Linked DNA regions of Oreochromis niloticus. The protein of the gene in region 1 purifies or fractionates together with the protein of each later gene. This does not show direct contact. Links are inferred from orthologs where the notes say so. Each region holds a gene or a part of one and is shown on either strand. Other genes may lie near its edges.

The links.
Region 2: the proteins of polr3b (region 1) and uxt purify together in Homo sapiens (affinity purification with mass spectrometry; 3 studies listed by BioGRID and IntAct, counting the BioPlex papers as one, with this or other methods). This does not show direct contact. The link is inferred for Oreochromis niloticus from reciprocal best matches to the Homo sapiens genes POLR3B and UXT.
Region 3: the proteins of polr3b (region 1) and polr2l purify together in Homo sapiens (affinity purification with mass spectrometry; 5 studies listed by BioGRID and IntAct, with this or other methods). This does not show direct contact. The link is inferred for Oreochromis niloticus from reciprocal best matches to the Homo sapiens genes POLR3B and POLR2L.

The regions. Positions count from the first base shown.
Region 1 is NC_031972.2:56,761,103-56,772,430, forward strand, and holds the start of polr3b (DNA-directed RNA polymerase III subunit RPC2), read right to left. Parts: upstream 7,415-11,328; 5' UTR 7,301-7,414; coding exon 7,229-7,300; exon of another isoform or gene 7,228-7,228; intron 6,976-7,227; coding exon 6,943-6,975; intron 4,816-6,942; coding exon 4,759-4,815; intron 4,674-4,758; coding exon 4,609-4,673; intron 4,499-4,608; coding exon 4,423-4,498; intron 2,716-4,422; coding exon 2,615-2,715; intron 2,343-2,614; coding exon 2,251-2,342; intron 1,878-2,250; coding exon 1,760-1,877; intron 849-1,759; coding exon 740-848; intron 35-739; coding exon 1-34. Other genes in the region: uncharacterized protein LOC109202896, read right to left, coding at 10,019-11,080. UniProt on the Homo sapiens protein: Catalytic core component of RNA polymerase III (Pol III), a DNA-dependent RNA polymerase which synthesizes small non-coding RNAs using the four ribonucleoside triphosphates as substrates.
Region 2 is NC_031984.2:4,340,096-4,351,423, reverse strand, and holds uxt (protein UXT), read right to left. Parts: upstream 5,766-11,328; 5' UTR 5,562-5,765; coding exon 5,464-5,561; intron 4,016-5,463; coding exon 3,934-4,015; intron 2,859-3,933; coding exon 2,791-2,858; intron 2,607-2,790; coding exon 2,499-2,606; intron 1,925-2,498; coding exon 1,861-1,924; intron 1,517-1,860; coding exon 1,454-1,516; 3' UTR 997-1,453; downstream 1-996. Other genes in the region: cdk20 (cyclin-dependent kinase 20), read left to right, coding at 6,937-7,011, 7,159-7,272, 7,870-8,058, 8,338-8,459, 9,073-9,135, 9,745-9,868, 10,632-10,787, 10,986-11,177. UniProt on the Homo sapiens protein: Involved in gene transcription regulation. Acts in concert with the corepressor URI1 to regulate androgen receptor AR-mediated transcription. Together with URI1, associates with chromatin to the NKX3-1 promoter region.
Region 3 is NC_031965.2:19,336,847-19,347,334, forward strand, and holds polr2l (DNA-directed RNA polymerases I, II, and III subunit RPABC5), read right to left. Parts: upstream 5,738-10,488; 5' UTR 5,586-5,737; intron 5,135-5,585; 5' UTR 5,125-5,134; coding exon 5,030-5,124; intron 4,731-5,029; coding exon 4,622-4,730; 3' UTR 4,508-4,621; downstream 1-4,507. Other genes in the region: cleavage and polyadenylation specificity factor subunit 7, read left to right, coding at 1-75, 187-523, 735-838, 2,211-2,355, 2,494-2,820, 4,037-4,055. UniProt on the Homo sapiens protein: DNA-dependent RNA polymerase catalyzes the transcription of DNA into RNA using the four ribonucleoside triphosphates as substrates.

The DNA.
Region 1 (11,328 bases):
GAACTATCTCCTGGTCACTCTCCACACCCATCCCCTGTGTGGATGACATGTAAACAGCGTGTGTAAAATGTTTGTAAAACTACAAAAAATAAAAAATCTTGTTATATTTAGATAAAAGCTTATCTGGGGAGGGGGAGTACATGAGACAGGGAGTGTTCACAGGGAGGGGTGAGGTGAGGAGGGAGTCATAATGTTGCCTGACATTTGCTTATGGAAATGTGAAGCTGTGGGAACTGATTCCAGATCGTCTCTGCAGCCGCTGCCAAACAGAGGGAGGGCTGGGGAAGACGTTACCCGGCAAACACAAGTGCAGCGAAAACACAGCGAGCATGCAGGCTCGGTCAGACTGCGGATAGTGACACTTCACACTCATAAGGTAACATGTTTGAAGAGGTCTCTCCTCAGAGGGCAAAGAAGTTCATGATACCAGCTGTCAGCTAACATTTTCATTCAGAGGTGATGCAAGAAATGTAATCAGCCGAGCAACTAATGAAACTACAGATCTAAAACTATTCACCATCTCATATAAAAACACTTCTCTATATATGTAACTTAAGCTTTGAAACAACTCCAAGCTGTAGCAAAAACAAAGACAGAGACTTTGGAAACACTCACAGGTCTTTGCTTCAATCTGTTGGGCAATAACATGACAAACATCTTCATCTCTGACCATTTACCTGTGCTATAGCACCACCTACTGGACTTATTTCAGCAGACTAATAAAAAAAATCATCCCTACCTTAAATATGATGGCAATGGGGGCATCCTCTGACAGCGTGTTGTGTCTCAAGTAGAATCGGCCTTGTTTAACAATAATATTAGTTCTGCTTTTCTTTTCATGAGTGGAGCTGGAGAGGACACAAAGAGCAGAGCGAACACGAGCGTGATTAGTGTCATGTTCATGTTCACCTTATAACTGTGTGAGGTCTCTCTGCATACTCAGACTTCCTCCCACAGTCCAAAAACTTACACCCTTGCGCAACTGAGCAAGGGTGTAAGGGTCATTCAGTGTCAGGTCATCAAATGTCTCCCACCTGACCATCTGAGATTTTCCCGAAAAAAGTCCTGAAATATGACACTACAGCTAGATTTAAAAAAGTGTTTTTCCTTCTACATTAAAGCTTTAATGTCTATAAAACAATTGCCCTGATTTAAACTTTTAATTTTAAATCATAATTAAATAATGCCATGGACCTTGTGTACAAGAATCTGTCCCCTACCTGCAGAATCGTGGCCTCCAACATTTGCTGTCACAGACAGGACACTCAAATATTTTCTGACCTTCAAGCATCCATCAGGCTGTTATCACAAGCTACATTCCTGAAATACCAGGGATTTCCCCTAAAACATTCCAATGTTAATGTTGCATAATTCCTAGTAATTAGTGCATCTTTCCCTGGAATTAATTCAAGAAAGACTGATGATCACAGTCCTGGTGGAAATTTTTTCCTTTTAGATTTGATGAACTGAAATGGAATGACCCACGAATATATCAGAGTTTCACAGGTCTTAAACTAGCAGCTTCACGTTATGGTTTACACCAAACACCAGTCACAGCATCCACACTCATGAGTCGTCTCCACGCTTCTGCGCTTCCGGGCAGAATCACAAAGAAGAAGCCAATAAAACGATAAGGTTAAGATGGTCAAACAAGACAGCTACTGAAAAGAGACAGCTGATTTTTTCTTTACATGTCTGCCAAGAAGGCAACTTTAAAGTGATGGATGAACAGCTGCTAATGGACATGTTGTTACAGTACCTGGTAACTGATGCTCCAACTGCACCCTTCCTGTCCTGCTCAACAATGATTCGGTTCTTGGACAGCTGTTCTTGGATCAGAATGACTTTCTCCTGACCTTTTACAATGAAATAACCCCCTGTGGGGAAAAAAAAAGGGGACACTGATCAATTTAACTGGAGAACCTGATGGCAAGTCATTTTCTTTTACTTAATTACTCTCAGAGTGTGTAAAGGCAGTTTTAACTCTTTACTCCTTGAATCTCTTTTCAGTAATGAGCCGTTTCTGTCATATTTCAGACCTGCTTATAGTACAAATTTTCTGAATGTGCATCAGAAATTAGTGAGGGTGATCACTGCCTGTACAGCCACCCTTGGAAAAACCTGGAATCTATTCTAATGGTCATCAAACATTTTACTGATATGTACTGAGATGCCAAAACTCATCATTAAGGGTCCAGGTGAGGCCCTTGAGGGGGAAAGAGTTACAATGAGAGTGCTACGGTTACGTGCCTGGATCCAGGGGACATTCGTTGAGTTTTGAAAACTCCATCGGCGTCTTTCCCGTGAGAACGCAATTAGAGCTTCGCAGCATGATGGGCATCCTGAGAAAAGCAGAGTTATCTACATTAATAAAATATGAATATTGCTTATTACCGTGTTGTTATAAAGAAGAATGCGTCAGCACAAATGAGTGAAGAAGGTCAGTTTATCAGCAAACAAAGCTTAAAAATCACAAAAGCTGAATTATTTTTTTGGCACTTGTTGGCTTACTGAGCTTTGCTGGAGAGGTTTTAAATTTGTAGATTTGATATAAATGCAATATAAATATGTCTGCATCACAGAACAGGAGCAGGGGAGGGGGAAAAAAAGATACCTTCCGATGGGCAGCGCATTGCGAATTATCCTCTGACTGCCGCGGGTGTACTCTATATCCACTGTGATCGGCGCAGAGTAAGTCATATCTCTGAGACGACACTGTGGGATGAGACAGATGACTCTGAGCTATATCTCATCATCTTTAAAGGAAAGTATTGGAGGTGTATCTCCAAAAGTTGATTCTGTTCATCTGGACGTAGCGTTTTGAGGGAGAAACGTTTCGTCACTCATCCAAGTGACTTCTTCAGTCTCAGCTGATTGCAGGTCAGGTTGGAAAAGAGGGCTTTTCTATCCTACCCTGGAACACCACCAAGTCATTGGTTCAGATATGTGGATGACACCTGGGTGAAAATCAAATCTCAGGACGTACCACATTTCACGGATCACATTAACTCGGTGGACCGACACATCAAATTCACCAGGGAGGATATGAAGAGTGGCAGGTTAGCCTTCTTAGACTGTGAGATTTCCATCAGTAATGGGGGACATCTAAAAGCTGACGTGTACCGTAAACCTACACATACGGATCAGTATCTAAGGTTTGACTCTCATCATCCACTGGAGCACAAACTGGGTGTCATCAGGACGCTACAACACAGAGCGAACACCATCCCCACTGACACAGCGGCCAGGGATGCAGAAGAACAGCACATCAAGAAGGCCCTGAGTAAATGTGGTTATCCCAGCTGGACTTTTGTCAAAGCTAGAAAGGCACCTAAAGAAAGCTCCAGCCGATCCAGGAGAGAAGGACAACCGCTGCCCAAGCGAAAACCTGTAGTGATCCCATATGTGTCAGGAGTATCGGAGCAGTTGAGACGCATTTTTTTCTAAACACCGGGACTCTGTGGCTTTTAAACCACGCTGCACCAAAGATTGGTCCACCCCAAGGATCGGGTCCCCCGACACAAACATAGTCACATAGTGTACGCTGTTAAGTGCCAGGAGGATTGCCAGTATTTATACATCGGGGAAACCAAACAACCTCTGGCGAAGCGGATGGCACAACACAGAAGAGCAACCTCGTCAGGCCAGGACTCTGCAGTCTATTTACACCTACAGGCCAGTGGACACTCTTTCAATGATGAGGATGTACACATCCTGGACAGGGAGGAACGCTGGTTTGAGCGCGGAGTCAAGGAGGCCATTTACGTGAAAAGGGAAAGACCATCTCTGAATCGAGGAGGGGGCCTAAGGGTACATCTTACAATGCTATGATTGCAGCCATTCCCCAACTCTCTGTGAATGGTACTCATGGCCATTGATCAGTGGGCTTTGATCAGTGGTTGTTGATCAATGGTCATGAGAATTTGCATAATTATGATTAAGGAACTGACCTCCCAGCCCATTGTTCCTTCAGTAGGCTGGTTTCAGTCATTATGCAAATGTACTGTTTATAAGATTGGGGAAACCTGCAGTCAGCTGAGACTGAAGAAGTCACTTGGATGAGTGATGAAACGTTTCTCCCAGAAAACGCTACGTCCAGATGAACAGAATCAACTTTTGGAGATTTACTTACCTGGATGATTGAGCATGCATCAAGATATTGGAGGTGTAGGCACTCAAATATAATTAACAAATACCTCTATGAGGGCTATAACTAAATGCTGAGTCTAGAGATGCCTGAGTGAGACATCTTCCTCTATATATATATATATATATATATATCTATCTATCTATCTATCTACCTTCCTACCTACAACTCATTTCAAGCTGTGTATTTGATTACTCAAAAGCTTTATTTAACTTTAATTAAACCACAGTAAACAATGGTTCATATTTAACAGCAGAAACACAGACTACTCTCACCTCGTGGGGAGAGACCGGTCTGGTCACGTTGAAGCTTTCTTCCACGTCCGGCATGCCAACGTAGATATTGAGGTATCTGCAAATTTTTAAAAATCCATTATTTCCTCTTTTAATAAAAACAAAACGACTTGTTGTGCATGTCTGCAGTGTTAAAGTCAGTGATGGTGAATGCACACAGTGACTTACTTGAGGTACCACATTGGATCAGCATCACTTGTGATTTTCTCATTTGCCTTCATAATTTTTTTGATCTAGAAGCAGAAATGAGACATCGATGCTCAAAATCCAAGTGTACATGAAAAAGCAGCAACAGACAAAGACATGCTCGTGTTTTACCTCTACATTAATGAAATAGTTGAATGAGTCGATGTGCTGCTTTACCAAACCTTTCACCTGCAAAACACACAACATGATATACATGTTTACTCTCCCAAATAATATTACTCACACAGATGTAGACCCACCAACTGTTCTGTCATCATTACACAGGAGGATACTTTGATATTTGATGACAAAAAAAAAGTAATTTAAAGAAGGTCCATGACCTAAAGCTTTAACAGGGTAAAAGAACAAGACACATTGTACAGGGTATATTTGGTCATTATGCAATATTTCATTATTTCATGGCCATACTGGACTCAAATGTTTCCCTTTTTACTAAACATATTTCCTTGGCCAAAAAATCTCTTGCTAAGGAATCAGAAGAAACATGACCAGATAACCACATCAATAAGTTTACCAATACTGCTTTCTGTAACTTAGGGATTTTCTAACATTATATTTTCTATCTCAAACTCACTATGAGAAATTTGACGACACATTCACATCTAGTAGGTTAGTTTATTGCAACGCTCTAGTTTTAGGACTCCCCAAATCATCAGTTGGAATTCCCTTATTCATTTAAAACCCAGCCTTGGAATCCTTATGGGTACACAGAAATTTACAAAGCTTTTGATGATTTGGTACCCAGTACAGACATCTCAGGTCATCAGGTTCAGATCTGTTCTCAAAATCATATATTCACACTGCAGGTCTTAATGCTCAATTCCGATTTTTTGATCAAATCCGATTTTTTTTGTCTGCTTGTTCACACTACAAATAAAATGTGACAGCAAATGCGCTCTAGTGTGAACCCTCAAAGCAGCCCGCATGTGCAAAAGAAGACGTCACACAACGCGCTGTTTAGACCCAGACCAAACAGTATTGTTTGACTGATGGCCCTTAATATAAAGACTTGTTTCGGACTTTACGTTTCCCAATTTTGCTCTAAGCTATAAAGCTATTTTGTTATTTACATATGGCCTAATAATTATCCTTTTTGCTGTTTTAGACAGGAGCGGTGCTTCAAAGGATAGTTGCAGATTTCTGTCAGAATCTGCAGATTATACAGTACAAATAAAATGTTTCTCCAACGCTGTCTTCCCAACAGTTTCACTAACATCTACACCGGATGGCCAGGAAGCGTTCACGATGTCTTCTTGGGCGCTTCTCTGGCGCTGATAATTGGTGTCTGTCTTGTGTCAGTGACGTAAAAGACGGATTTAATGCGACATGACCATTCAAACAGCAGTCGCTTTCTAAAACATCAGATATGTATCAGATTCAGTACCACATACGAAAGTGACCCAGGTCGAATTTGAAAATATCGGATTTGTGCTGTTCACACTGTCATACCATGATTGGATATGGGTTGCATAGGGTCAAAAAAGGCGGATTTGATGCGCTTTCGCCTGCAGTGTCAACGTAGCCTTGGTGTGTTGAGGGTACTTTCAGTTATTCTGCCTCAGTTCCTTGGAGCAGGCTGCTGACCTAGGATCAGTTACATCTGCGTGTACATTGAAAAACAGCCTCAAAACCTTTTTAGCCACACAGGCCTACAGCTAATAGATGCTGTTGTTTTGTTTAATTGTTTTTCATTGCCTCAAGTCATCATAAACCTACACAGGGTTTTTTCAGCTGTCATGTAATGAACTGTACTATTTAAATAGAGATGTCATTGTTATTGTCTGACTGCTCTGGGTGATAGGAACTAGGCAACAGTAAGTCAGATTACTACTACACCACTACGCAAAACTGAGGCTACAGTTTGCACACACTCAACAACCTCGGGCAATATAAGATTGGAAAAAGGTTTTCTGGTCTAATAAGTTTTGATTTCAGAATTTGGTGTGAACATCATGAAAGCATGGATCCATCCTGTCTCGTGTCAACAGTTCAGGCTGCTGGTTGTGGTGGTATAAAAGGGTTAGGGGACATTCTCTTCTCATACTTCGGTCCCCAGTTGACTAAGCACCATTTAAACACCAAGGCTTGCTGAGCATTGGTGCTGACCACAGTATGGCTGCTTCCAGCAGGGTAACACACCATCTCACAGAGCTCAGATCACCTCAAACTGTTTTTATAAACATGACAGTGAACTGTTACTGTATACCCACTAGTTTCTACCATACTTTAAACATATTTTAATCAAGAAGCATTGAAATTTAGTAAAAGTGTGTAAGGGCTGGTGTGTTCTGTTACCTTCAGGAAGGCTGGTAACAACTTCCATTTTTCCTGTTAAAAAGGGAAACGAGCAAATAAACAAGTCCGTTTTATCAATAACCTGAAAACTATTCGAGCTGTGTAAATGCTTAAGCACTTTTTCCAAATTGTACACTAGAAAAAATATCTGTCAGAAACAACAAACTGGGACACAGGACGTTCCCCTTCACTCTGCATCTCTATGAGCTAACAGCCTCCACGCTAGCGTTAGCATCTCTGTGCTCGTGCTGCCAGACTTTCGGTCCTTTCCGGTCTTCATACTCACAGCTACGGTGTTAACAGGAGCCACCAGCTCCTGTGGAGTCAGGTCGCTAAACTGTCCTCCCAGGACCTCCATGGTTTACTCCACTGCTTATCAGCAAACACACAAAAACCTGTACCGTCAGTGTTGATATCTTGCAAGCGTGACTCCTTTGTGTTGCACTCTAAAACGTCCGTACGACCAGAAGCAAGAAAAGCGTTCCGATTCTTTAACTTACAAGGATTGTATCGTTCTACTTTTTAAAAAACATTACGTCATAAAATATTGTATTGTGACGCACAGTTACTCACAGTTGCGTCACAAAAAAGTAACTGTGCGATGCAAAAAACAGTACATTCAGACTAGAATTTCCTTTCTTACTTATTGGAGTTATTAAAAATCCAACGGATAGCAAACTGATGTACACTTCCCAAAAGGTGAAATGCAGAAACCTTGTGTGTTCAAAATGAACTGGCACATGGAAGTAAGCGTCATTGAGGACTACTAAGGTGAACCACTCTCCTGGAGTGATGGTCTGCAGGACATTGATATAGTATCTGAAATCAAGAAGTAAGTGGAATAAAATCCCTTGTTCGTTATCTCTGATTGCACTATTGTGATAGCCCTTTTGCCCAGTAGCATATTTCCTATGACAAGCACAGGGTCTTCACAGAGTGTGACAGAAGTCACTTTCTCTGAAAAGGGTGGGATCGATGACGAAACTGCAGCGTGTACCCCCGGGACATTGTTAGCAAAACCCACTTATAGCAGCCTCTCCTCTCTCACTGAGAATGGCAAAATACTGCAATGAATTAGACAAAGCGTGTCTCAGGTGACCCACTAACTTGATAACTTGTTGCCAACTAAGCAAGTGTTTAAGCCCAGGCAATCCAGACAAGAATTCCAGCAAGCTGCAGGAGGTGACCTGAACCATCAACTTACTTATGTCACTATACTTAAATGTGTTGAATTCTAATACCTGAGAATACCTTAAACCTAGCTGTGCACAGGGTTCTCAGGGAGAGCAATATTGAGAGATATTGAGAGACCTGTAGCTTGCTACTGTCAACAACCTTCTACTGCTTAGAAGCATTTCTTATTTAGCTTTCTGGGTTTTTTTTTCTTTTTTTCACATACAGTCTACATACAATGTAATGACTGTGGATGCTCGGTGGGATGCTTCTATGCTGTTAAGGAGATGTCATTTCAGGACTTAAACCAGACTCTAAGAAATTGCTGTCTAAATTTGCAATGCTGCGAGTAACAAACTGCGTTCAGTTTGGAGGTTGAAGAGGAACTCTCCCTCACCAGGCTGACAGCTGTCTGTGCCACAGTTTATCTCATGCAGTGCAGTGCTAAATTTAAAATTATCAGACACTTTGGACAATGTATATTCTTCTATGACAGAAAATACAAGTGTTCATTTAGGTAAATAAACAGAGCCGTAAGAGATGTTTTTCAAAAATTGTTTTCTTTATTTTGATTTGCTGCTAACAAATTTTTTTATTTTTTTTTTTGCTGCTAACAAATTTGGGTTTTTTTTGTTTGTTTTTTTTTATTTGTAGCTTTTGTAGTGTGAACCCCTCACCAGAGTTTGTAAGTTCTTTAGTTCAAGGCAATTAAACCCCAACAATCAAATGATCCCCCTATGAGCAAGCACTAGGCACGGTGGAAAGGAAAAACTCCATTTTAACAGGAAGAAACCTTTGACAGAACCAGGCTCAGGAAGGGGCAGCCATCTGTCACGACTGGTTGGGGGGTGAGAGGCAAAAGAAAAGAAAAATGAGAGCACAAGTTAGCTATATGTTGCTCACGTTGTCTAACATGAACAACATATGGTTTTCTGGACTGTGGATGAAAAGCAGTCCATCATTACTGGTCTTTAAAAGGGAACTGATCCATCATTAAGGTAGCAAAATGGCTCAAGGAGGCTAGAGGCAGAGGCAAATACGCAATTGCTGTTAAACATTGAAAAGGCCCAGTAAGCTGCAGGTATAATAAGGCCTGCTGCGGCAACACCTAAACCTATTTTAAGTAGGCATTTGGCACCATGATGCCATGAACCACTAGTTGGAACCATGTCAGGAGATGGTTCTGAGACAGGAGAATCAAGCTCTTCAGGTTGAGGAGCAAGATTCTCCTGTGTCGGGACCACATCAGTAGATGGTTCTGAAACTGGAGAAACAACCTCCTCAGGTTCAGGAGCAAGATTCTCCTGTGTTGGGACCACATCAGGAGATGCTTCTGAGACTGAAGAAACAAGCTCCTCAGGTTCAGGAGCAAGATTCTCCTGTGTTGGGACCACATCAGGAGATGCTTCTGAGACTGAAGAAACAAGCTCCTCAGGTTCAGGAGCAAGATTCTGTGACTGTTTTTCGACCTTAGCCTGTCTCACCTGACATTGGAGATTGCATATTTCTCTATTTTGTTTTTCTATTATCTCTTCTTTTTTTGTTATTTTATGGTGAGCTTCTCTCACTTGTTGCTCAAGTCTCTCTAAAGCGTCCTTGAGATCTGCGTTCTCTTTCTTTTGTTCGTTTCTCTCACTTTCGATCTGAGACAACTCGGCAGCAATGCTGCTATTCTGCTCAATGAGAGATTCTTCCTTTTCCAAAAAGTCATGGTGCATTGTCTGAATGTTCTTTTGCTGTTCCTGGATTTTAGCCTCCAGAGATTCCACCTGTGACTGTTTTTCGACCTTAGCCTGTCTCACCTGACATTGGAGATTGCATATTTCCCTATTTTGTTTTTCTATTATCTCTTCTTTTTTTGTTATTTTATGGTGAGCTTCTCTCACTTGTTGCTCAAGTCTCTCTAAAGCGTCCTTGAGATCTGCGTTCTCTTTCTTTTGTTCGTTTCTCTCACTTTCGATCTGAGACAACTCAGCAGCAATGCTGCTGTTCTGCTCAATGAGAGATTCTTCCTTTTCCAAAAAGTCATGGTGCATTGTCTGAATGTTCTTTGCTGTTCCTGGATTTTAGCCTCCAGAGATTCCACCTGTGACTGTTTTTCGACCTTAGCCTGTCTCACCTGACATTGGAGATTGCATATTTCCCTATTTTGTTTTTCTATTATCTCTTCTTTTTTTGTTATTTTATGGTGAGCTTCTCTCACTTGTTGCTCAAGTCTCTCTAAAGCGTCCTTGAGATCTGCGTTCTCTTTCTTTTGTTCGTTTCTCTCACTTTCGATCTGAGACAACTCAGCAGCAATGCTGCTGTTCTGCTCAATGAGAGATTCTTCCTTTTCCAAAAAGTCATGGTGCATTGTCTGAATGTTCTTTTGCTGTTCCTGGATTTTAGCCTCCAGAGATTCCACCTGTGACTGTTTTTCGACCTTAGCCTGTCTCACCTGACATCGGAGATTGCATATTTCTCTATTTTGTTTTTCTATTATCTCTTCTTTTTTTGTTATTTTATGGTGAGCTTCTCTCACTTGTTGCTCAAGTCTCTCTAAAGCGTCCTTGAGATCTGCGTTCTCTTTCTTTTGTTCGTTTCTCTCACTTTCGATCTGAGACAACTCAGCAGCAATGCTGCTGTTCTGCTCAATGAGAGATTCTTCCTTTTCCAAAAAGTCATGGTGCATTGTCTGAATGTTCTTTTCCTGTTCCTGGATTTTAGCCTCCAGAGATTCCACCTGTGTCTGTTTTTTTTCAGCCTGAACCTTCATGTGTTTAAGCTCATCTCTTGACCGATGGAAATTATCTTTATAATAATTCTTTTTGAGCTTTAGGGTGCTCAACTCCAACTGGAGTTGTTCAATTTTCATTTGAAGCTCCCTACAGTTAGGCATTTCAATCTTCAAAACCGTATGCAGTCTGATTGATTCCGCTTGAATCACTCTGTTGGACTGTGAATTATTAAATGTTTCGTCTGACATTTCTTTAAATGTTTATGCAAAGTGTCGACAAGAAAAAATGTTTGCTTAATTGTTTAAATTTAAAAATAGTCTCTTTCTGGAAGGTTTCTGGTTTGCAAAACGCAACTCCCTGTTTCTGAAACTGCTCCAAGTAAAACTGTTTGCAAAGGTGAAGAGGGCGTATTTATGGACTTTTGTGGCCGCGAATTTGACGTCAGCGCTCTTTGATCCTTTGATCGAACAAAGCATCAAAGGACAGCTGTGCGTAA
Region 2 (11,328 bases), on another chromosome or scaffold:
AATATTTCAAAATATTAAAATAACTGAAACGTGTTTTGGAAGCTTATTAGGCCATAAAATGAATAAACACCATTTAAAAATATTATTGAAAGAATTACTGACATGTAAAAAGCTTATCATGAGTAATAATGTACAAAGAAATAGTACAAAAAGCTCAAAGTGGTTAGAGCCAGAGAAGTGTGGCAGTACAGAGATCCAAATATGGCCAAAGCTGAGCGTGAAGTGGGGACAGGGAGGAGGCGGGGGGGGGGCAGAGGAGGATGTTTAAGCAGCAGACTGCAGCAGGTGGGAGTGATGACAACAGCCAGTGCTGGTCTAGGAGCCTCTTCAGCTTCCTGCCGTGACATCATCAAAGAGAAAGACATGTTGCTTAGTGCAGAAAGAGGTGAGAACAGCAGTCGTGGAGGTCGATGGTTAGGAATGAGGCAGCAGGGTCAAAGAGAACATGAACTTGGACCGAACTGTGGAAACCAGAGACACACCATGTTTGGTAAAGGGGAGTCACCGGCCCCACTCCTGGAGGACGACTGACCGCCGTAGAAGAGGCCGGCTGTCAGCAAGCTGAACGGAGAGCAAAGTGTCTCCCAGTGGAGGCCGGATGAGGAGGTGTTGTGTCCAAAGCCTTCGACTTGTTGGTCTTTAAAGAGAAGATTAAGGAAAACAGACATCTGTATTTCCAGTGAAACAGCTGAGAAAACTTCAAGATGGCTCAAGAGAGAACCAGGGGAGGAGAGTACCCACCCGTTAATGTGGACCCATCCTGGTGTCGGATCAGCCTCAGCAGGGTTTCCAGGAGGAGGCTGGATGATGCTGAAAGTCCTGAAACACCTGAATAAACACATCATTCTCAAAGAAATTTAGAATACAGCTAGTCAGGAAAAAAAAAAGTTAAATCCTCAATAAAGATTCAGTAAAACATCCAAAGAATTTCTATGAAAACCCAGGAAACACCTTGAGCACAGGTCCAACAAACCAAAGGAAGGAAAGCTGTCCGGATCATTTTCACAAAACAATTTATTTAAACCTCCAAACAGTGAAAACTCACTTCCTGTCACATTATTTTCAACCTATGAGATCAGGTTTGTTTGAACCTGAATTTGTCACATTGACTGAAAGTGTCTGTTTAGACGCTGCAGGAGTATCTCTGAGCAGCTCCTTCTTCACTGTGACACTGAAGAAAACAAAAAAACAGGAATATTCTCTGATTTTCAACAGACGAGTTTCACAAAGACACAAAGTCACGTCGAGAGTACGTGTTTCATGACTGTGAGTTTTGACTCGGAGAAGGCTCAGGCACTAATCCTCCTCTTCAGCTCTGTGAGGACTTGTTGGGATTCAGGCTTTAGTCCTGAAGTCTTTCCTTCTCCTCGAGCCTGTTTTCTCAAAACACACCGTTGACATCAGCAGCCGGCTTTCGTTAACCCGTCCTCTGCAGCTGGTCAGGTGGGAAAGTCTAGAAAACGTCTCCTCTTCTGCTCTCTGGCAGGTCGCCCAGGCCCTGCAGCTCCCTCAAACCCTGAGTAGGGAAACATGAAGAAGCCAATCAGATTCTCTACCTGCTTCTTTAACATCTGGTCATTAATCAGATCAATCTGACTATTTTAACCCTTTTGTCACCAGTAAATACTGAAAAACAGTGTTTTAACTGAACATATTCAAATCTGATCTTGATGTATTTCATTAGATGGGTAAAACTTTTTACTTCTAGTTCAATGTTCAAACTTCATTGACTGTAAAATCCTCAGAAATGAGTAACAAGTTATTTAGTACTTAAGTATAAGCCAGAGGAAAACTCCTGCACCCAACAGAAACTATTATTATATAAAAACTGTCCTATAATCCACCTGAGAAGAAACTGACCTCCAGCACCATGCGGATATGGGCTTTTATTTTGGCAGAGTCTTTTGTGAGCTGCTCCGTGAAGCTGTAACACAAACACAGGGTTAGCATGGCAAAAAGTGACAGTGCTAACAAAGAGCTAACATGAGCTAGCTAATAGACATTGGTATGCAACAACAAATCGTAAAAAATAATCAATCATAATAATAATAAAAAAAAGAAAATATAAAATAAAAAATATTAGTAATATATTATTAATAGAGAAATTAGTAATAATTCCAATAATTCTAAATTCTAAATAAACAAATAAAAATTAATTTTAAAGTACAATAAAAACAGGAAATTGTCAGAAAAAAATAATAATACAACAAAAATATCAATGTTTTAAAATGGAAAATTTAAGTGTGAAAAAAATACTTGAGAAATATCTAAAGATAAAATTAATAATAAAATCATAAATATTGAGAAAACCCACCAAAAATATCTAAAAACAAAATCAGGACATTTCAAAATAAATAGTTCTAACATATTTTTTTCAAATAATTTCACAACAAAGTGAAATTCTGAGCTCATTTGAAAAATGTCTGAAACATAATTACATTTTTATGCTTTTTCTCCTACTTTTAATCTTAATAGTGTTACAGTGACAATGAACTCACGCTGTGAGCTGACTCGTCTTCTTCTCGATGAACCTCAGAGCCTCGTCGTGAGTCATCTCCACAAAGAAACCGTAACCGACGGCCACAAACATCCTGGATGAGTCCTCACTGATGGAGGAGAAGGAAAAGAGAACTGAGTTTAAACAGGAACTGAAATCCTTTTGGAAACACAGAGCACGGATGCTCTAGCCTCTCTGGAGTCTCGCAGCACACTTCATTAGCCTAAACGCAGCATTTTTGCCTGTTCGAATGCAGAACAGCTGCTGGTGACCTTCGTGTGTCAGCAACTCACACTTCAGCCTGAACGTAGAAGTTACAGCCAAGATCAACGTCTGTCTTCAGCTGCTGAGAGCCCGCCTCCTGCAGGAACACAAAGAAGCGTGTGACTTTCATTCACTCGTGGAACAGGCGGCCCAAGCTCAGAGAAAAAAATACTCCATCTCAGTGTCTACAGGCCTCAGACAGCATGTTAGAGGTTAACGTTCATGACATGACAGTTAGAAAAGAGACTGAATGAGTTTGGCTTGTTTGGCGGGGTTTCCACAGAAAAATATATCAGTGAATATGTAAGAAGCTCGGAAAGAAAAGTGACTGAAGACGTTTCATCCGGAAAGATTCTTCAGTTCTAAGACCAAATGTTGGACAGTTCAAAGTATTAAATCACATGAGCCAAGGTGTGTGATGGGGCACATGATTAATAGTCGGGTCAACGACCCTCTTATGGGACAACTCCCACTAGGACTTAAAGACCTGGGACTCTTCACCGTTTAGTTTTAGAACTGAAGAAGCTTCTTGGATGAAACGTCTTCAAGAAACTTAAAGAAGTCGAGTCGCTTTTCTTTCCAAGCTCCTTAGATTACCATGACCTGGATGACTGAAAACCTACACAGACATCAATGATTATGAGAGTGATTTAAAAAAATATCTGAAAACTAAAATAAAAACGTCCATCCTCTAAATAAAATAAAAACAAATAAAAAATTATTTTTTTAAATATCTGAAAAGTGGAGGTAAAATGTCTGAATGTTTTGATTTTCCAGCTGTAGTTTCAGGCTCTTTGATCCAGACGATGGAGGTTTGGGTTCACAGCTCTCGGCCTAATGAGCCACATGTATTGATCTGCTGGATAAACAGCTGCAGTGAGGCTCAGCTGTATTGATGGAGGTCCGATAAGCTCCACCATCTTTCCTCACAGAAGAGTGTGCTGAATTACAGAAACAGCTCACACAGAGAAGCTACAGAGAGAGATGTCTGTATTGGCAGAGCTCAGTCTGCAGCTCATTAACCAGCAGACAGAAGCATTTAACATTAACAGAGAATGACAGCCAGCACAAACACTACAACGATCTCCAGTTTGATGTGGAAATCTCTTCTTTTCTAAACTGAAAAACCTACAGATCTTCAAAATAACACAGTACATTTTGTGTGCGTTTACCTGCAGACTCTGTATGGTGTTCTTCAGCTGCAGGTACTGAGAGATCTTCTCATAAACCTGATCCCTCTGCTCCACCACCTTCCTGCCAAACGACAGCCGTCACTTGATTTACAGAGAACATTAACGCCTTCAGATGCACCAAAATAATTCAAACAGCCTAAACACGCCAAGAAAATCTGATTCAAAGCACCAAACAGCATTTCAGACACCTGAACTCTTTAGTCTGTGTCACTGAACACTCAGATGCCAACCTGAAGAACCACATAAATACCTGTAAGATTAGATCTACCCTTCTTATCCATCACACATGTGTACTTATAATAGATTCAAGCTCATTATTGTATCCTTTCTATATAACTGAGCTCCTTCTTAGGTGTAGTTTTTAGATTTTTGCACCATTTTGTTCTGTAACTGTACAAAGTAATTTCTGTATTTCTTTTCTTACACCCTAATAAAATTGTCAGTGTTCACATTAAACACAACCAGTCGGGTCTGTGCATGTACAAGTAACCCATGTGAACCAAAGGCTAACGCCTTAGATTGCTCTAAATACTTTTTCAAGTCTTGAATCTGTATGATGTCATTGAGAGGAGATATCCCTATTATAGCCCACCCACCCGCTGTCTGGGGAGCTAAACCAGTCATGTCATAGGCAAAAAAGAATTATTTTGAACTATGAATCATGCAAAGCTACTCTAGTGTCATAGTGTTCAAGAAAAACAATATAAAGCTGTAAATTAACAAAACTGATCCACTTTAAATAAGATGGTCTGAGGCTGCTTCTAATGGAGCTGTGAAGGAGCTTGTTGACCCAATTGCCAAGTGTACTCCACAGTTTTCCTAAACAGCTTGTGTCCCTGGATGTGCTTCGCACTCTGTTAGCTCATGCTGAGCTCTGCTCTGCAGTACTGGCTGCAGAATGTGAAGCAGTAAGAGGTTTCCTCTTAGTGTGGTCAAAACGCTCCAGTTCTGTCTGGTTTGTTGCCCCAGTTGTTGCAGTGCTGGCACAGCAGTGACATGTATAACAATCCCACTGTATTAAAAACACATTGCACGCAAAGGCTGTCTTGACAACGTCTACATGCCTAAATGAATTGAGTTGCTGCTACATGAATCGCTGATAAGATATTTGGGTTGAGCAGGTATTCCTAAAAAAGCAACTTGTGAGTGTAAATATTTAATAATCAGTCTGCAAGTAATTAAGGCACGGAGGGGGACCAAAATGACACCAGCACTATTATACAATCAGCAGCTGTGAGACTTGACCTTTATTAGGCTGTTAATTAAGCTTTAAATGACTTTAATTTGTAGTCACTCCTCATTGACCTTCATATCGCCTCTACTACCTGTTCAAAGTCTGCCTGGATAAAAATCTGAGTTCATAAACTCATATCTACACAAGTATTTTGCACTACTTTAACTACAGATTACATTTCTTTTACTTTAGTTTTTAAAGTTCTGTAACTGAATAAAGCTCTCTGTAAGGACATAATAAACTGTGTTCAGACATCAGCTGTAGTGTCTTCTTACTGTAAGTCTCTCTTCAGGACTTCGTTGATGAAGGTTTCATACTGCAGGACCTTCTGGTCCACGTTAGGTCTAGCTGTGGCATTGTCGGGAGCAGACATTTCTTCACTGTCTTCTCTTTAAAAGAAGCTACAAATAACAGAAAAAACATTCGGTTGAGCTGCGGATAAAGTCCAGCTGCGAACTGCCCGATCTCTCTGTCGTAAACTTTAATGTTTCTGCACACCAAACTCTCCGGCTAGCATGCCTAAGACAGGACGTAAACACGCCACTCTACACCGGATGAGAAGAAAGTGTGAACAAGTACTTCCGGGTTTCAAAATGAACCCAAAGAATAGATTTAGTGAAAACAGAAAAGACGAAACGACAGCAACGCTGCAAAAGCTTGTCAATTAATGATAGCATAAACTCGGAAACTCTAAAAAAAATTTCTTACTTTATTTTTTAATATAGTAGAATAGAAGGCCTTTTTCGTTATGTAGAATACCAGTACGGAGTGAATTATTTTTATTCTTTATCCTGCTGCTGTAAAACAAACATTTCCCAATTGGATTCAGAAAAGTCTGTCTGTCGGTCAGGGAAATTTGAAGCATTTTCCTGAGCAGATTATAAATTTTAGACACATCAAGTACATCTCTATGCAGTTCAAAAGACTTGCTTTATAAACCAAAAAATAAACTAAATTGCTTTTTAATCATTAATCGAATCAAATGTTCAAGTCAAATTGTTAAGTTTGTACGTTAAAAAATGAAACAGCAAACAAGAACAAAAAAAGAATCAAAAATAAAATAAAACAAAATAAAACGTTGATTCTGGTTAATGCTTTCTACCTGCTCTGGCTCTATGGAGGTCCTGTCTCATGACGTCACTGTAAACAAACATGGCAGACCACGGGCGGCTCTGTAGCTAGCTACTGTAACACGAAACAATTATTAAAACGTCCTGAATGAAAATGCGTATTAAAAAAATTAAATATCGTCGTTTTTGTAGTTTCTTTCTTAACAAGCGTGCGTGTCAAGCCGGCAGCAGAAGTTAAACAGTAACAGGTTTTAAAATTTTAGCTGGGTTATCTGAGTTAAGACGTTGCCAAGGCAACGTTAGCCAACAGCTAGCTGTCTCGCTTCCCGTGGTCAGGATTTATTTTCTGAGAGACTTTTCTTTACAGCTGTTTGTTGTTGCATATGTAATATAAGCCGAATTTAAGTTAACGGTTTAAAGTTTTACTGGGCTTAAAATAATAGTTTAATAACTGTATCTTATTGAGCAATCGTGCGCAGCATCGTGAACGGCTTAATTTTTGAGTGAAGTTCGAGGTTTGCGTTCCTCTCTCTGGTTTGCTGTTCCAAGGAGCTGATTTGTATATCATTGGGGGTTTACTTCAAACCACACACTCTTTGAATTAACAAAAACATCAGTGAGAGTTGTGACCAGATTAAATCCAGATTAACTGAAGCTGTTTTAAACGCTCATGAAAACATGGAGCAGTATAACATTCTGGGTCGGACAGGAGAAGGAGCTCATGGCATAGTCTTCAAGGCCAAACATATTGAGGTGACGGACTGGTGCTTTTATGTCTGCATCTTACTTCATTTCTTTTTTTTTTCTTTTTTTCTTTTTTTTGTAATCCGATCAGCATTAAATTTGGGGTCTAACCTCAGCGGCTTAGATATGTGACATGGAAATGTTCTTGTGTGTCAGACAGGGGAGACGGTGGCTCTGAAGAAAGTGGCTCTGAGGAGGCTGGAAGACGGCATTCCGAACCAGGCTCTAAGGGAGATTAAAGCACTGCAGGAGATCAAGGACAACGAGCATGTGAGTGAATGTGCAGACAGTTTTTACAGATAAGAGTCATTTTAATCTTAAAATTTGATTAGTGTTTAGCAGCACGGTGGTGCGGTGGGTAGCACTGCTGCCTCACAGCAAGAAGGTCCTGAGTATGAGTTCGACTCCCTTCTGTGTGGAGTTTGCGTGTTCTCCCTGGGTTCTCTCCGGGTACACTGGCTTCCTCCCACAGTCCAGAGACATGCAGTTAGTGGGGTTAGGTTAATTGGTTATTCTAAATTGCCCATAGGTGTGAATGTGAGTACAAATAGTTGTATGTCTCTATGTGTTAGCCCTGCAACAGACTGCCCACCTGTCCAGGGTGTACCCTGCCTCTTGCCCTATGGTAGCTGGGATATGCTCCAGCTCCCCTGGTGGCTGGGGGGATGTCACAAACAAAATATAACAGAAACCAAAAATTAGTACATGGAAAACATAGACGATCAAAGCAGAGCAGCAAGAAAAGAGCCAAGCATAACAGACATGTTAATAAAAAGGAGATTAGGCTATATGAGAAAATTATAAGAAGCTGCAGAGTGTCTGGAGTCTGAAGGGATGCAGGACTTCTTTCTGTGACTTTCTCCTCAGGTGGTGAAGCTGAAGGACGTCTTTCCTCACGGCACGGGCTTCGTCCTGGTGTTCGACTTCATGCTGTCTGACCTCTCTGAGGTCATAAGGAATTCCCAGCGCCCTCTGACCCCTGCGCAGGTCAAAAGTTACATGATGATGTTGCTGAAGGGCGTGGCCTTCCTGCATCACAACAATGTCATGCACCGGGTGAGCGCAGCTAACAGTTATTATCATTAATGAGTCATCTGACTGTTTTCTCAGTGAATCCTGTGTTTGTAACAAGCAACACTTAAGCATACAAGGTTATTTAAATACTGTTGGTTATTCATAATAAATGAAAAGCTGAAAATATGGGAAATGCTAAAAAACTGAATAGTTGCTGCAGTCTGAGGTGTTGCAGGAGGAGGTGAGAAGGTGGTGTTCGGGTTTCTTTTCTTTAACAAAATAAATCAAACCAATTATAAAATGACGTTTGTGTGTTTGCAGGACCTGAAACCAGCAAACCTGCTCATCAGCTCCTCAGGCCACCTGAAGATTGCAGACTTTGGTCTGGCCCGGCTGTTCAGCGAGCAGGGAGAGAGGCTGTACAGCCACCAGGTGGCCACCAGGTAAATAGGATAAGATGAGATTAAATAAGAAATACTTTATTTAGCAGGTAGCTTTAGCTAATCAAAATAAAATACAGTATGACTTACCAAAAGAACTCAGTGAGGTAAAAAACACGAAGAGCAAAATGCTCATTTAAATAGAAAAATGACAGTAAAATGAAAGATCTCAAGTGAAAATTTAAATGCAATATAATGAACCTAAAAGTAAGTACTTTTGTATATAAAATGCAGTAATGCAGTATCTGAATGGCTGAATGTAATACAGAAAATGGCTCTATAAAGTAAGCACAAGCACAGCATTAGCTTTAGTGCTGCTGGGAAAAATCCATGTGGTGACATGGAAAATGCAGTCAGTTGATACTTTAAATATTCACTCAGACTTGCTTTAAAGCTCAACTGGTGAACAAATGTGTCACAGAACAGATTCACATATTCAGATTTGAGGTGCTCATTACACCAGTAAATAATAATCATGTTAAAGTCGCCATGTCATGTGACTTGTTGGTTCAGTTCATTCTAAAATAATCACCACTTTCAACTGGATATTACTGATACTTTATCAGTAATGTGCAGTAAATGCACTGAGCTACATTTGACCACTGTGTGTGTTTAGATGGTACAGAGCCCCTGAGCTGCTGTACGGAGCCCGAAAGTACGACGAGGGAGTCGACCTGTGGTGAGTACAACCCTGAAAACGCTGCTAAAAGTAGCGCCCACACTATTATTTTTTTGCTGTTGTTCGATCATTATAGCTTACATTACATTATATACATTTACGTTACATAGTACTTGTTTAACCTGGCATTCGAGGCTAATTAGTGTGATTTTCATCTGGCTCTGCATTTATATTATGTCATTATTTTATATCTGTAATTTATATTTTATATTGTGATTTTATCTGTATCATGGTTTTACTGGAAAGCACTTTGGTCTTTAAATGTGCTGTACAAATAAATTTGATTTGATTATCTACTGTGAATCCTCTGCTGATTAGCTTTTACTCAATAAACCTAGATGCTTTTGTTTCTGTTGTGCCTGCTTGTATTCTTTTCCTGTATCAGCATATTTTATTATATATTACTCTTTAACATACTATGTAACATGGGACCATATAATAAGAAAGAGTAAGCTTGTAGCTTCAGTACACGCTAACTCTGTTAGTGTTCACAGTTCCTGCTCAGGTGTAAATTGGTCCAGTGATCAGAGATGAACAGCAGGGGGCAGCAGCAGTCTGAAGTCATGGCTTACTGTTTAGTCCGTGTGTGCGCTTGTGTGTGTGTTTCAGGGCGGTCGGCTGTATTTTTGGGGAGCTGTTGAACTCGTCTCCTCTGTTTCCTGGAGAGAACGACATCGAGCAGCTCTGCTGTGTCCTCAGAGTGCTGGGAACCCCGACTCAGGACAGCTGGCCTGTAAGATACACACTGGTTTTTCCATCACTTCAGGGGACGTTACATTAATATACATTCATTTTCTTCTCGATCTTTTTTTGTATTAGGTTAAGTATTAAGCTTTATATCAAAGTATCATCTCACACATTCTGTCTTTTATATAAAAGACATATCGTGAAAATGTAAACACAATGAGGATGTAAAATAAACTGGAACACTGCCTAATTTCCACATGTATTCACTCAGTGTATTCACACTGTGGTAGTGTTTACTCTTTCATCTTTGGACATAGTGCATATAAATGTCCGCCCACATCCACGTTCATTAACTTTAAATGTGCTAAAAAGACGCAATGTGTTATTTTTTAAAATAATGTTTTTCAGTGCATAGTCAACATCATAATCATCATCAGTATATTATTATATGTGATAGGCCTGCAATCATCTGCCTGAAATATTGGTTGGCCTCCGTTTAGCTTTATTTAAAATGTTTAAATGTTTTTAGACTAGCAGTAAATGATGATGAATATGTAGAGAAATTAAATCGGACCTAAAACTGATCCTTGTGGCACTCCAAACCAAACTGATAAAAGAAACTGTGTGTGTTTACTCTAAAAACCTACAACTGTTTGAAGTCTGGCGACATCTTTGTGGTCTGTGTGAGATTTTATCTGAAGGCTAAGGTAAAATAATTCACTCTGCGAAGTTTAATTTTGTCTTGTTTTTTTCTTCTATGGCTGTGAAACTGGTTAAAACATTTTAATCCCTCTCCTGTCTGTCTCCAGGAGATAGTGGAGTTGCCAGATTACAATAAAATCACCTTTAAGGAGAATCCAGCAATCCCATTGGAGGAAATCGTCCCTGACATGCCCCCTCAGGCAGTGGACCTGCTCTATAAGTTCCTGGTGTATCCATCTAAACAGCGCTGCTCAGCCAGACAGGTAAGAAACCTGAAGCAGACCTTAAGTTCAAAGGTGGAGTTCCTCAGGGCTCGGTCAGAGGTCCTCTCATTTTTACATAAAGAATCATTTCTTGGAACGTAGCCATTATATTCTCCCATTCACCCATTATCACTCAGATAAAGTTTAATAAACTGATTATTGATCAGTGCTCTGCCTGTCCTCTCCTCCTTACTGCAGGCTCTCCTCCATCCATATTTCTTTACTTCGCCAATTCCTGCTCACCACTCAGAGCTGCCCATCCCTGAAAGGGGAGGGCGACCCCCCCGCCAACGCTTCCAGGCTCCGCCCACTGACTTCTCAGTGGACCTACCCTTGCAGAACAGTGTGGTAGACCCTGCCCTAATACAGGGATATGCTTCCTGCCTCTGAACTGACCGCTGATCTTTACCATCTCTAAGCTGCTCTTATACCAGTTAATCTTGTTTTATTTATTTATTTATTATCTGGTTTACTGAACGCTCTGCTATAGACTGAATTCACATTGTTTTATGAATTTCAGCTCACACAGAAGATTTCTGAT
Region 3 (10,488 bases), on another chromosome or scaffold:
TCAACGGGGAAAGGATAGACTGTCGCTATGCCACTTGTCAGAACCTTGCTTTTTTTGAAGAAGAAGCAAACAAACGTAAGGGGAAGACGACTCTGAAAACCCCCCACTGATATTTAGTTTGTATTACTAAATGTCAGGATAACTATCATTTTTCATGGAGATGTATTTTGTTTTTGGTTTTTTCAGGTGTACCCTTGCGAGCTAACAAAGAAACCAAGGAATCTGAGTCGTCAGATGAGATTCTCTCAGTATTATTAGCACAGAAGACCACCCCGTCTGCTATACCGCCACTTTTTCCATCACATCCACTTGCCAACAGCTTTCCTCCATTACCCGGCCCTTCTTTTGGTCATCCACCTCCCCTGTTTCCACATATGCCACAAACAATCGCTCCGCTCATGGCAACCCCGCTGTTCCCTCCTCATCCAGTCCCTGTCCCAAGCCACCCGCCTCTTGGTATGCATCCCACATACTTCAGCCCAGCACAGGATGGGCACAGCAGCAAAGCTTACAGCCAACAAAAGTGAGAACACATTATTTAATTTTTATAGCCACTGACACACTAAAGGCATTTACAGAGAGATGAGATTAAACCTCCAGTGGAAAGTGAACCAATGAGCAGGATACAGAGAGGCATAAATGAGAATAGAGATTACTTATGACTAGAAGTTACAAAAAAGAAAAGAAAACATTAAAACAATAGTTACTTTTACTAATAACTGTATATTTTACAGAAACACACCTAAAAGTTCCGATCGAGATTTGGAGGAGCTTATGAATAGAAACAGAACCATTGCCAGCAGTGCCATCACAAAAGCTGTGAGTGGTGCAACAGCTGGTAAGTATACATTCATATGGGATACAGTTTTTTATGCTTATTATCTATGATTAACAGACAGTTGGAGAAACACTCAAAATGTAAAGTTGTTCAACACAACTTGCACTTGAATTAAGAAGCACACACATATCATAGTATATTTTTGTCTTAGATATAATTTGAATACATTTTTTTACTAGTGATAAAAAACTAAATACTATGTTGTGTACATAAGTCATTACAGACTTTATTCATTATTTGAAAGGCTCTGAAAATGCTGTTTTAATGCTAATCAGTCTGATCTCTGCAACAAAAAGTACTGTGTATGTTAAAGCATTGAGCCACCCATCATTGTGTGCGGTTTGTTTTGTTTTTTTGTTGTTGGTTTTTTTTTTACAATGTTATCCTTCTAGTGCATTAAAAATTGAAGCCTTTACCTGTTGGATGCTTTCCAGATGGTATTGCATGGTGGATCAAAATCTGATGATACTCATAATTCCATCAGCACTGATTAAAATCCCGACACCTCTGGCAGAAATGAAGCCCCAAATCATGATGGAGCCTCCACCATGTTTTACAGATGGCTGTAGACACTGTGTTCTAGTTCTTTGGTAGATTATTCCTATTTCTTAAGGACATGACTTTTTATAGATAGTTTTTTTTTGGGGGGGGGCTGCCAGTTATTTTTTTTTTTGTTCTCCACTTGTTCAGTTTATTGAAAATACTGCAGTTGCAAAAATTACAAGAAAGACTGGCTCCTTTGAAGAAAAATACAAAGAATAACGAGCGACTCAAGAATTTAGCATATTTGTGGCAAAATAAGAAGAAAATTAAATTAAAAATCTGGAAATAATCATCTTTATTATCAGGACTGTTTGGTTGTGGTTTAATCAGATTTGATTGTCAGTGCTCTTACAACACAACGGGTGTCTTCGGGGCCTTTAGGTTTTTGGTTATGGTTTTTCTAGCTTTGCACACTTTTAATTTCTACTTTCTTCATACATTTTGTTACTTCCTCTAGGTGTATCAGAGTGAAATAAGAGCCTTTCTTAGTTCTAACAATTTCTACTGGAGTTTAAGATGAAGCTTCGGCTGGCACATTTAACAACATGCAGAGATTTATCCCAAAGCCCTCTCAGCCTTGTGTTGGCTGCGTGCTCTGGGTCTCTGTATACACATAGGTGAATCATCACCTCAGGCCAGGTTTTATGTCTTCTCACTCAACAAGCCTCCCTGCTGCTTCTGTTCCGAGATACTTTCCTATCTTTAATGTATTTTGTAGTAACTGTCGCCCATTTTCAAAAACTTTTTATTAAACCTAACCCTAGGAACTTTAAAGTGCTTCGTTACTAAAAAACAAATGCTTCTAATATCTCCTAAATTTCTACATCAGGAGACCTGCAGGTGGCCATGGAAACGCTATTAACTGCCATTGCCATCATTAAGCAGTCCAGAGTGTATGGAGATGAGCGATGCCAGACGCTGGTCACGTCACTCAAGGATTGTCTAGTCTCTATCCAGGGCAACTATGGCTACAGGTTTGTATAACTGCCTATCAAAACGCTATCGTTGTTGTCCGTATATGAACGTATATATACGCATGTATATGAACTAATACTGAGGTTGGACCTAGCATTAGATTTCTTACTTTGTTACAAAACCATATTTCCTTTCAGTGAACAAAGTCGCTCTGGAGAAAGAGACCGGGACAGAAGTCGGGACAGAGAGCGAGAGCGGGACAGAGACAGGGAATGGAGCCGTGACCGAGACCGTGAAAGAGACCTGAAACGGAGTCGAGAGCGTAATAGAGACCGGGAACGGAGTCGTGGCAGAGAGCGTGATAGAGACTGGGACAGGAGTCGTGACAGAGAGCGTGATAGGGACTATTCTTCTGTTTGTGAAGGTGCAGGAATGTCTCGAAGACACCTGGAGCGTTCCTGGAGTGGAGAAAGGGAAAAGGCGTATTCACGGGAACGGGAAAGACACAGAGATCACAGAGACAGGTACCACTAATTAGGTAAGTTTTTCACTAATATTAATTTGTACACTACAATTATATTTTACCATCAGTCGGTTTCACGTTTTTGGAATATCTACTATTTTTCCAGTAAACATTTTGACTTTTGATGGAAGGAAAGCCCAGGTGTGTTCCACATAGGTTGCATCCCAATATTGCTAACTCACTGGAACAACTTACTAGAATAAATGAGCCATTTTTTATTTCACCTTTTGTTTTTCTTGTGGTGACAAGAAAAAACACACGTGGCCTGCTCTCAAGAAGTTCTGTCGTGTTAGGTTTCTTATTACACAGTAATAAGTACAAAAAACTTAAAAAAAGACTTGCAACATCTTTTAGTTTGTTCAGTAAACCTGATAATGCAGATTTATTAATGTAGAGCACAATAACTGTGCTTTACTTCCTTCAACCTTCAACAATTTGTTCAGGAACTCAGCAGCACTTTGTCCTGTGATGTAATAGTAGCTCATTATTTAGTGTCAGTTTTTTCATTTTGGTTTATAAATGTATAAAAGCTTCTTATAGCCAATATCTTCTCATATTAGAAGTACTTTTCATCAGATCTGAGGCATGTACTATGAAAAGAGGTAACTTCAGCAGTAAAGTTCACATCTGTCACTTATGGTTTAATATGAACTTATGAAGATGGTTAAGTGTTACCTGAGTGTATGTTGTCCTGAGAGCAGGAGCTCAGTTACATTTCATAAATGTTTGTAGAAGCAGTCTGCATGACTAGGTGCTTGATTTCATACATCTGTGGCCATGGAAGTGATTGAATATCTGAATTCAATTACGGTATTTGGATCGGTGACTGAATCCTTCTGGCAGTTTACTGTATTATGTATGTGTATATGGTTCATAAAGTGAAACTCGCTAAATTTACTACTATAAATTTACTATATTATAATTTATTAAATCTGCCTGCACCGTGACACTGACAGAGCACGGCTATATTTGATCAAGTAAAATGAATACATTTTACTTGATCAAATGCAGAACTTTTAGTCAAGATATATGTAAGGGGTTAGCACAAATATGCATACTGCTGTGTGAAACGCCACAGGATGCATCCTAAAATGACAGAACTCAGTTAGGAAATGTATTTCTGAAAACATACAAACACTTACTTTTAAGTTCAGTATAGTGTAGATCTGATTTGTAAAATTTGTGGATTTCAAAATGTATTATTTTCCCATCCCTAGACTGAAGTCCTGTGACTGAAGCAGAGCAAAGACAGGCCTTTTTTTGGGGGGACAAAAGTAGAAGAATTCCAGATTAAACTACGGATATGCATCTTCTAAAGTCCAAGGTGTACTTTTTTCTTTTTTAAGTTCTCCAGGATCTGTAATTTTAGATAAAGACTGTAGAATCGTTGCTTCGTTCAAAGCTTGCATGCACAGAAGCGCCTCCTAATTTATGTAACTGTAACATTTATCACTTTTTGTATTAAATGTACAAAAAAAACAAATCCATAAACATAAATCCAAGTTGTTGTTTTATCTGCTTACTGGGGACCACAAAAATCATTTAAACTGCCTGTGTTTGGACTACTGTTAACACATTAAAATGTAAAACTACTGAAAGTCTCTCTACAAGATTTATCATGCTGCTTTGTTTTAATGCATAGAACAAGTGTGGGGACTAAGCTTTGCAACTAGACAAGACAGCAAAGGTATAAGCACATGTAACAATGCCATCAACAGCTTTATTTAGAAAAATGCATCACATTAATAACACAAACTCTCAAAACTTCAGCCTGCACAAAGTCCAAACAGTTCTTCTAGTTTTCATTTCTCCAATGGCGCATAATTCAGCAATTTCTCAATAAGATCCACATGAGAAAGAAGCATCCTCCTGCAGCAGTACCTCTTCAGTCCCAGGGCATCCAGGGCGTCACTTGAGAAGGAAGAAGGAAAAAGTAATGTCAGAGCTAATGTATTATATCCTGAATGAATAAGTACATGGACATTACTGAACACACTGAGGAAAATGGTCTAAATAGCCTCATGCAATTATGATTCACTTAATCCATCAACTCATTTTCAAGTTGACTTCAAACCACTTAACCTCTACAAACGAAAAAAATTCAATGTGCAGCGACTGCACTGCTACTAAGTTGTGTTGCCATAATACAACAGTTATTTACAATTTAAGAGGCAATGTCAGTGGAACAAAACAGAATGTGTTAGTCTTACCCCTCTGTGTACTCGGCTTGAAGAAGACCAAGGTATGCTTCCCATTTGTTACCAACAATCTTGCCACACGTGAAGCAGCGTACAGGGATGATCATGTTTACACACCTGTGAATAGAGACCTGGTTTTTAACTTACCCAATAAAATTACGTATCAAACACCTATGTGATGTTAACGACCCAATTTTGTTTTCATCGATCTACGAAAAACGGCGATAAGTTTAACTTGAAAGTATTAGTAGGTGCCCGGCTAATTCCGAGCTAGCTAGCGTCAATATTATGCTAATACTGTATCTTTGATGTGTAGCTAAGACAACTATAAATTATGCAAGGTGATAAACCCAAACAGTGTTTACCTGTGCGTTGTTTATTGTTATTTTTTGTATCTGTGCGTGTTTTTTCAGGAGCAGTTATCAAATTAATTGAACAAAACACCTAGCTAGCCATTTCAGCATGCGTAACCACGCGCTTAGCATAAATGTAGCTGCTTTAACATGTTGCGAATCGCAGTGTTGGTTGTTTACCACAAAAAGCAGAAGGTCACGTTTTATTTACTCACCGTTGCCACTACCGTTCGCTAAAGCACACAAGTTATGGTCTTCTGAGAGAAACAAACACCGGAGAAGTTGTAACTGCTAGCTTCGCTTTCTCCAGCCGCAACAACAAGAAGACTTCCTGTTAGAATCTTTCAAAATAAACGACTACTTCGGCCTCACTTTTTGTCATCAAGATCCGGAAAAAAAAAATCATCCAGACAAATTTCACGACACTTCTCGGAGAGATGTAGCATGGGTAAAGGTGACTATACGGTTAACTACATTTAGAATCATCTCTAACTTATAAATTTAAAAAAGCCTAAAGTGTATGGACTTTATATTTATATCTATGAACACGTGATGTGGTAAATATCTTGTGCAAATAAGAGAATTTACTTCATGTGTGGAAATGTGTTGTTTCCCTGCTGATGGTTATCCTTTGTTCATCTGCAACAGCGGAGTGAATTTAATTTTATGACGTTTAGAGGTAAAACGAAAAGCTTGATTAGGTGTTTCTTTTCATTATAACGCGTCTTTGTACGCATAAAATTAGACATGCATATCACTTTTCTAGTAAATTATCTTGTACACACACATTAATAAGAGAAACTTATGGGGATATTAGGGGAGAATTCAGTTTCTATGTACCCTTATAGCTTCCATATTACTAATAATATATGTAAATTGTTCATTGGCAAAATGATAGAAAAGCAGCAGCCAAGCTATGAAAATCTCACATATAGCATTGGCATCACATAAGTACAGCTCTAAAAATGACCATAAAGTTGACTCAGCAGACAACAAGCTGCCACCCTAACTATAGAGCAAACTGCAGATGCCTTAAAAACAGACACAATACTTCTCTGCGGTATAACTACATCCTATGTCACATTAAAGAAACATCCTTCTGGGAGGACGTGCTGAGCAAAGTAGACCTGACCACAATAATGGTTTCTGTGAGCCAGCATAGATATTGATTTTGGAGTAAAAATGAATTACATAACAATACACCCTGACCCCAACAATACACCCTAACTAATACTTTACATGAAATGTGCCTTAAATGGGGTAATAAAAGAGTGATTAAAGACGTTCCTGGACACCTGATGCAATCTGATACATTCATGGTGAACTATAAACTTTGTTGTCACAAATAACTGAATAAAATTGAAATGATAATAAAATTCCCAAATAATAAATTATAGTAGTAAATATCACAAATCACAGAATACAGAAAGTAAAATTAAGTCAACCAGAAGTTGATAGATATAGATATAGATATATGTGTGTGTGTGTGTGTATATATATATATATATATATATATATATATATATATATATATATATGAAAAAAAAAAAAAAAAAAACAAGAAAAAGGTTCAACTCTGCCAACATCAATAAACAATTTTTTTTTTAAATAGACATGTAAATATAAAGTTCAGATGAAACTGAGTATCATTTATAATCCATTTAAAGCTGAAGTTGCGATTAAAGACATACTCACTTGGGTTGGTTCACTGCCTTTAATAAAGTTGGGTTTCACTTTCTTTTTACACATTAAGAAGTTTGGGAGCTAAGGGGAGGGTGCATAAGGTAAATATGTTATAAATATATAAAAAATATATCATAACCATCAATACTATCATTACAGCCACCATACTATACCACAGCATACCATCACCCTCATTATCATCATATGTAACATCGCCATCATTTCCATCACTAACATCACACATTATGACAATGTTTATATAATTTAACTTGCTACCGCACGTGTGCTAAATGAGGAGTCCTATCTGAATTATTGCATTTATACGCTGTTGAGATTATGAAAATAGGAATTTTCTTCTTCTTCTTCTTTTTTTTTGGTACACTGTATTGTACAATGTAAGGTGAAGTTTGTTTCAGTGTTGGCGTAGGCCATCTATGTTTTGGACATGCTTGGGGTGCTAAGTGTAGTGATGAGTGCTGAGTGTTAGCACAATGTTAATGGCCAGTAATGTGTAAAATGTATACATATCCTTAAAGTTAAATATGTGTTAGAACTGTCTTATGCATCTACTTATGGAACGGGGGACAATCCCCCCCATGAGCTTTGCAATGTGAGTTGGAAATAATGTGTACAGCTGTACAAGTTAATGAGTGCAGGAACGAAAACCGAGACTGCTTTTTTCCCTTTTGATTAAACTATAGTTCTATCCAACTATAGAACAATAGTTCATGTACACCACACTTTCATTGTATAAGAGTATTCAGGATGCTCTCATTACTAATTCCTAAATGAGGTTGACAAGGTTTAGAAAACATAAGAGGGGCAGAGGGAGGACAGAAAAAACTATCATGTTTTGGCAGCAGGCTTTCAACCTGATACACAACACTAATGGCTGTTCAGCCTGCTACAGCTAAACATCTACTGTAAGATGTAAACAGATTGAAACAGCATGACTGCGGCTGCTGTGTAAGACACGAAAGGTTATTGATTTGTGATATAATTTGACAGTAAAATAAATCTGCTTATTCTACAATAATAAATAACTGCACTATTATACTCTGGTCCACAGTATACATATTTTACATCCAACGACCCTTCACGTGCCATTCCTCGACCCCTGCATACTTATGTGTTCTCTCTGAATTTTTATTGTGTTGTACTTGCTTGTGTTCGCCAGTTCGATGTCTCATACGCTCTATACTTATAGAGGAACTCAGTACCTTCAATTAGGCAATCAATGATTTAGCCAGAGTATTTTCAATACACCACAGTGCACAATCCCAGCTATTCTCTGCTCTTCTCTTCCAACTGTCTCATTTTAAAGTAAAGTAAAAACCTAGAACTCTGATAGCTGCTATTCATATTTCAAAGGTTCAACATTATGATTTCAGGCTTCACGTGTTTCTTTTAGCAAAGTGAACCAAGCTCATTTCTGGTGCAAGAATGTACAAATATTTAAACATTTTTGTCAATATTTGTTCAAATTAGATTAAACCAGACAAAGCAGCTGAATAAGCTACCTTTAAGAGTTCAGGTTTTTAGCTTGGCTTAAGATTTTTTTTTTGTGAGTTTTTTTTTATAATTATATAATTACACTTCAGATGCAGTATTGTAGCAACTTCATGCATATAATATGTGTAATTATGCTCCATATACAGCCTTGATCGAAAATCAAATGACTTGATTCACTACAAGTGAAAGCAGGGCAAAAAAAAAAAAAGAAAAAGTCCCCAATCTTTATCATGATAGTCTGTGAACCAATCAGCAGCGACCATCTAAGTCATCAACCAATAAATACCCTAACTTCAGATAATGATTTGGTTTTAATTTCTCCTTGCCAGTAGCAATACTCCGAGCAAGATGGCTCCCGCAGCAATAACGGCCCCACCAATGAGAAAGGGCTTCAGGTGTTCCAGAGAGTCTGTGCCGGAGGCTGCAGCTTCGTCACCTGCTGCTGCTGTCTCTGTTTCCGCTGCTCCATCCTGCGCAGGAGGGCGATGCTCCGGCTCAGGAGCTGCAGGGGCAGGGTCAGACTTGCGTGGGGCAGCCGGCTCCTTTTTCTCCACTTTAGGTGCTGCCTTTGGAGCTGAAGCCCCAGGCTTGCCTTTGGCTTCCATCGGCTCTGAGACAGAGGTGTGGTCTGGTCACAGGATACTTTATAAGGTCAGCTCTGTGCTGCTTCACTGAGGAAAAAAAAAAGACAGCAAACAGACATAGCCAGATTATCCCTCTAAATTAGGCTCAGACATCATGTCATATGCTCTGTTGAGTGTAAAGCCACTGGCATATGAAAGAGCACCTGATAATCATGGATTCACCTTACAGCAGTGAGCCAGTCGTGAGGCGGTAGGGCCTTAAATGTGACCTTGGAAATATGACATTGATAGGAATACTCCGGTGCTCATAGGGACTTGAAATTGTTTATTTTGATGACAGCTCCTGTGACACGATCTCCCACTGAAGGAAAAAGAAGCCACAGAAGCGTCCTATGTTAATGTTTTTCATGGGACAATCTTCTAGCTTTATAATGGAGGCAAGGGGGGGAGGAAAGCATTGCATCTGCAGAGCTGATGTCAGGCTTAATCTTTACTTCTTTGACCGTGAGAAGAGCCTATAGTGGAAATGCAACATGAAGATTTTATCTTTTTCCCCCTCCTTGTTCTCTATTCTGTAAAGCCTGCATGAGTCATTTGTGCTATAAATGTAGGACAAGATGGAGGAAAGAAATAAGGAGTACAGTCACTGCAACAGAGGAAATCAGGGAAAATGCTAATTAGAACAAACGAAGAGGAATAAATACAAGCCAAGACTAAAAGAACGCATTATTCAGCTTCAATATTACAAAATGCATGTTGGACACAGCTTAACAAAAAAAAGTCCCCTGTTATACAGGAAATATCTAATAGAGGGAATATAGTTTTCACCTACCTATCCAGCAGCACTGTAGATATTACAGGGATAACGGATGGTACAGAAAACACGGCAAAAGTTGAATGTCCTTAATGCAGGAAGGTGGGAGACAGCGGAGAGATGGAGGACACAGAAAGCAGACGGCAGGAAAATAAGAGGGAGAGGACGAGAAACTGGGATGTACCATCAGGTGCTCAAATTAGGGGGAGTCGACTCCTGGATCACGTCTTTTTGAGATTATTGCGCAAGCACAGTCCCGCTGTCTTGTTGTCGGCTAAATAAATGGGATTTCCTTCATTATTTTAATCGAGTTTATATTACTGTGATCATTAAACTAGTCAAATACAGGCTAATACATTTTAACCCTGATACTAAAATTGCCTCTTAAAATAACTTGTTTTTTCGTTTAGAAGCATTAACATTTTTTATTATCTGTCGATAATCAGACACGGCGAACTGCAAATAAAACAGTTTCTGTGGATAAAAGGAGCTGACTTTAATCTTAGAGGATTTTGGGGGGTGTAT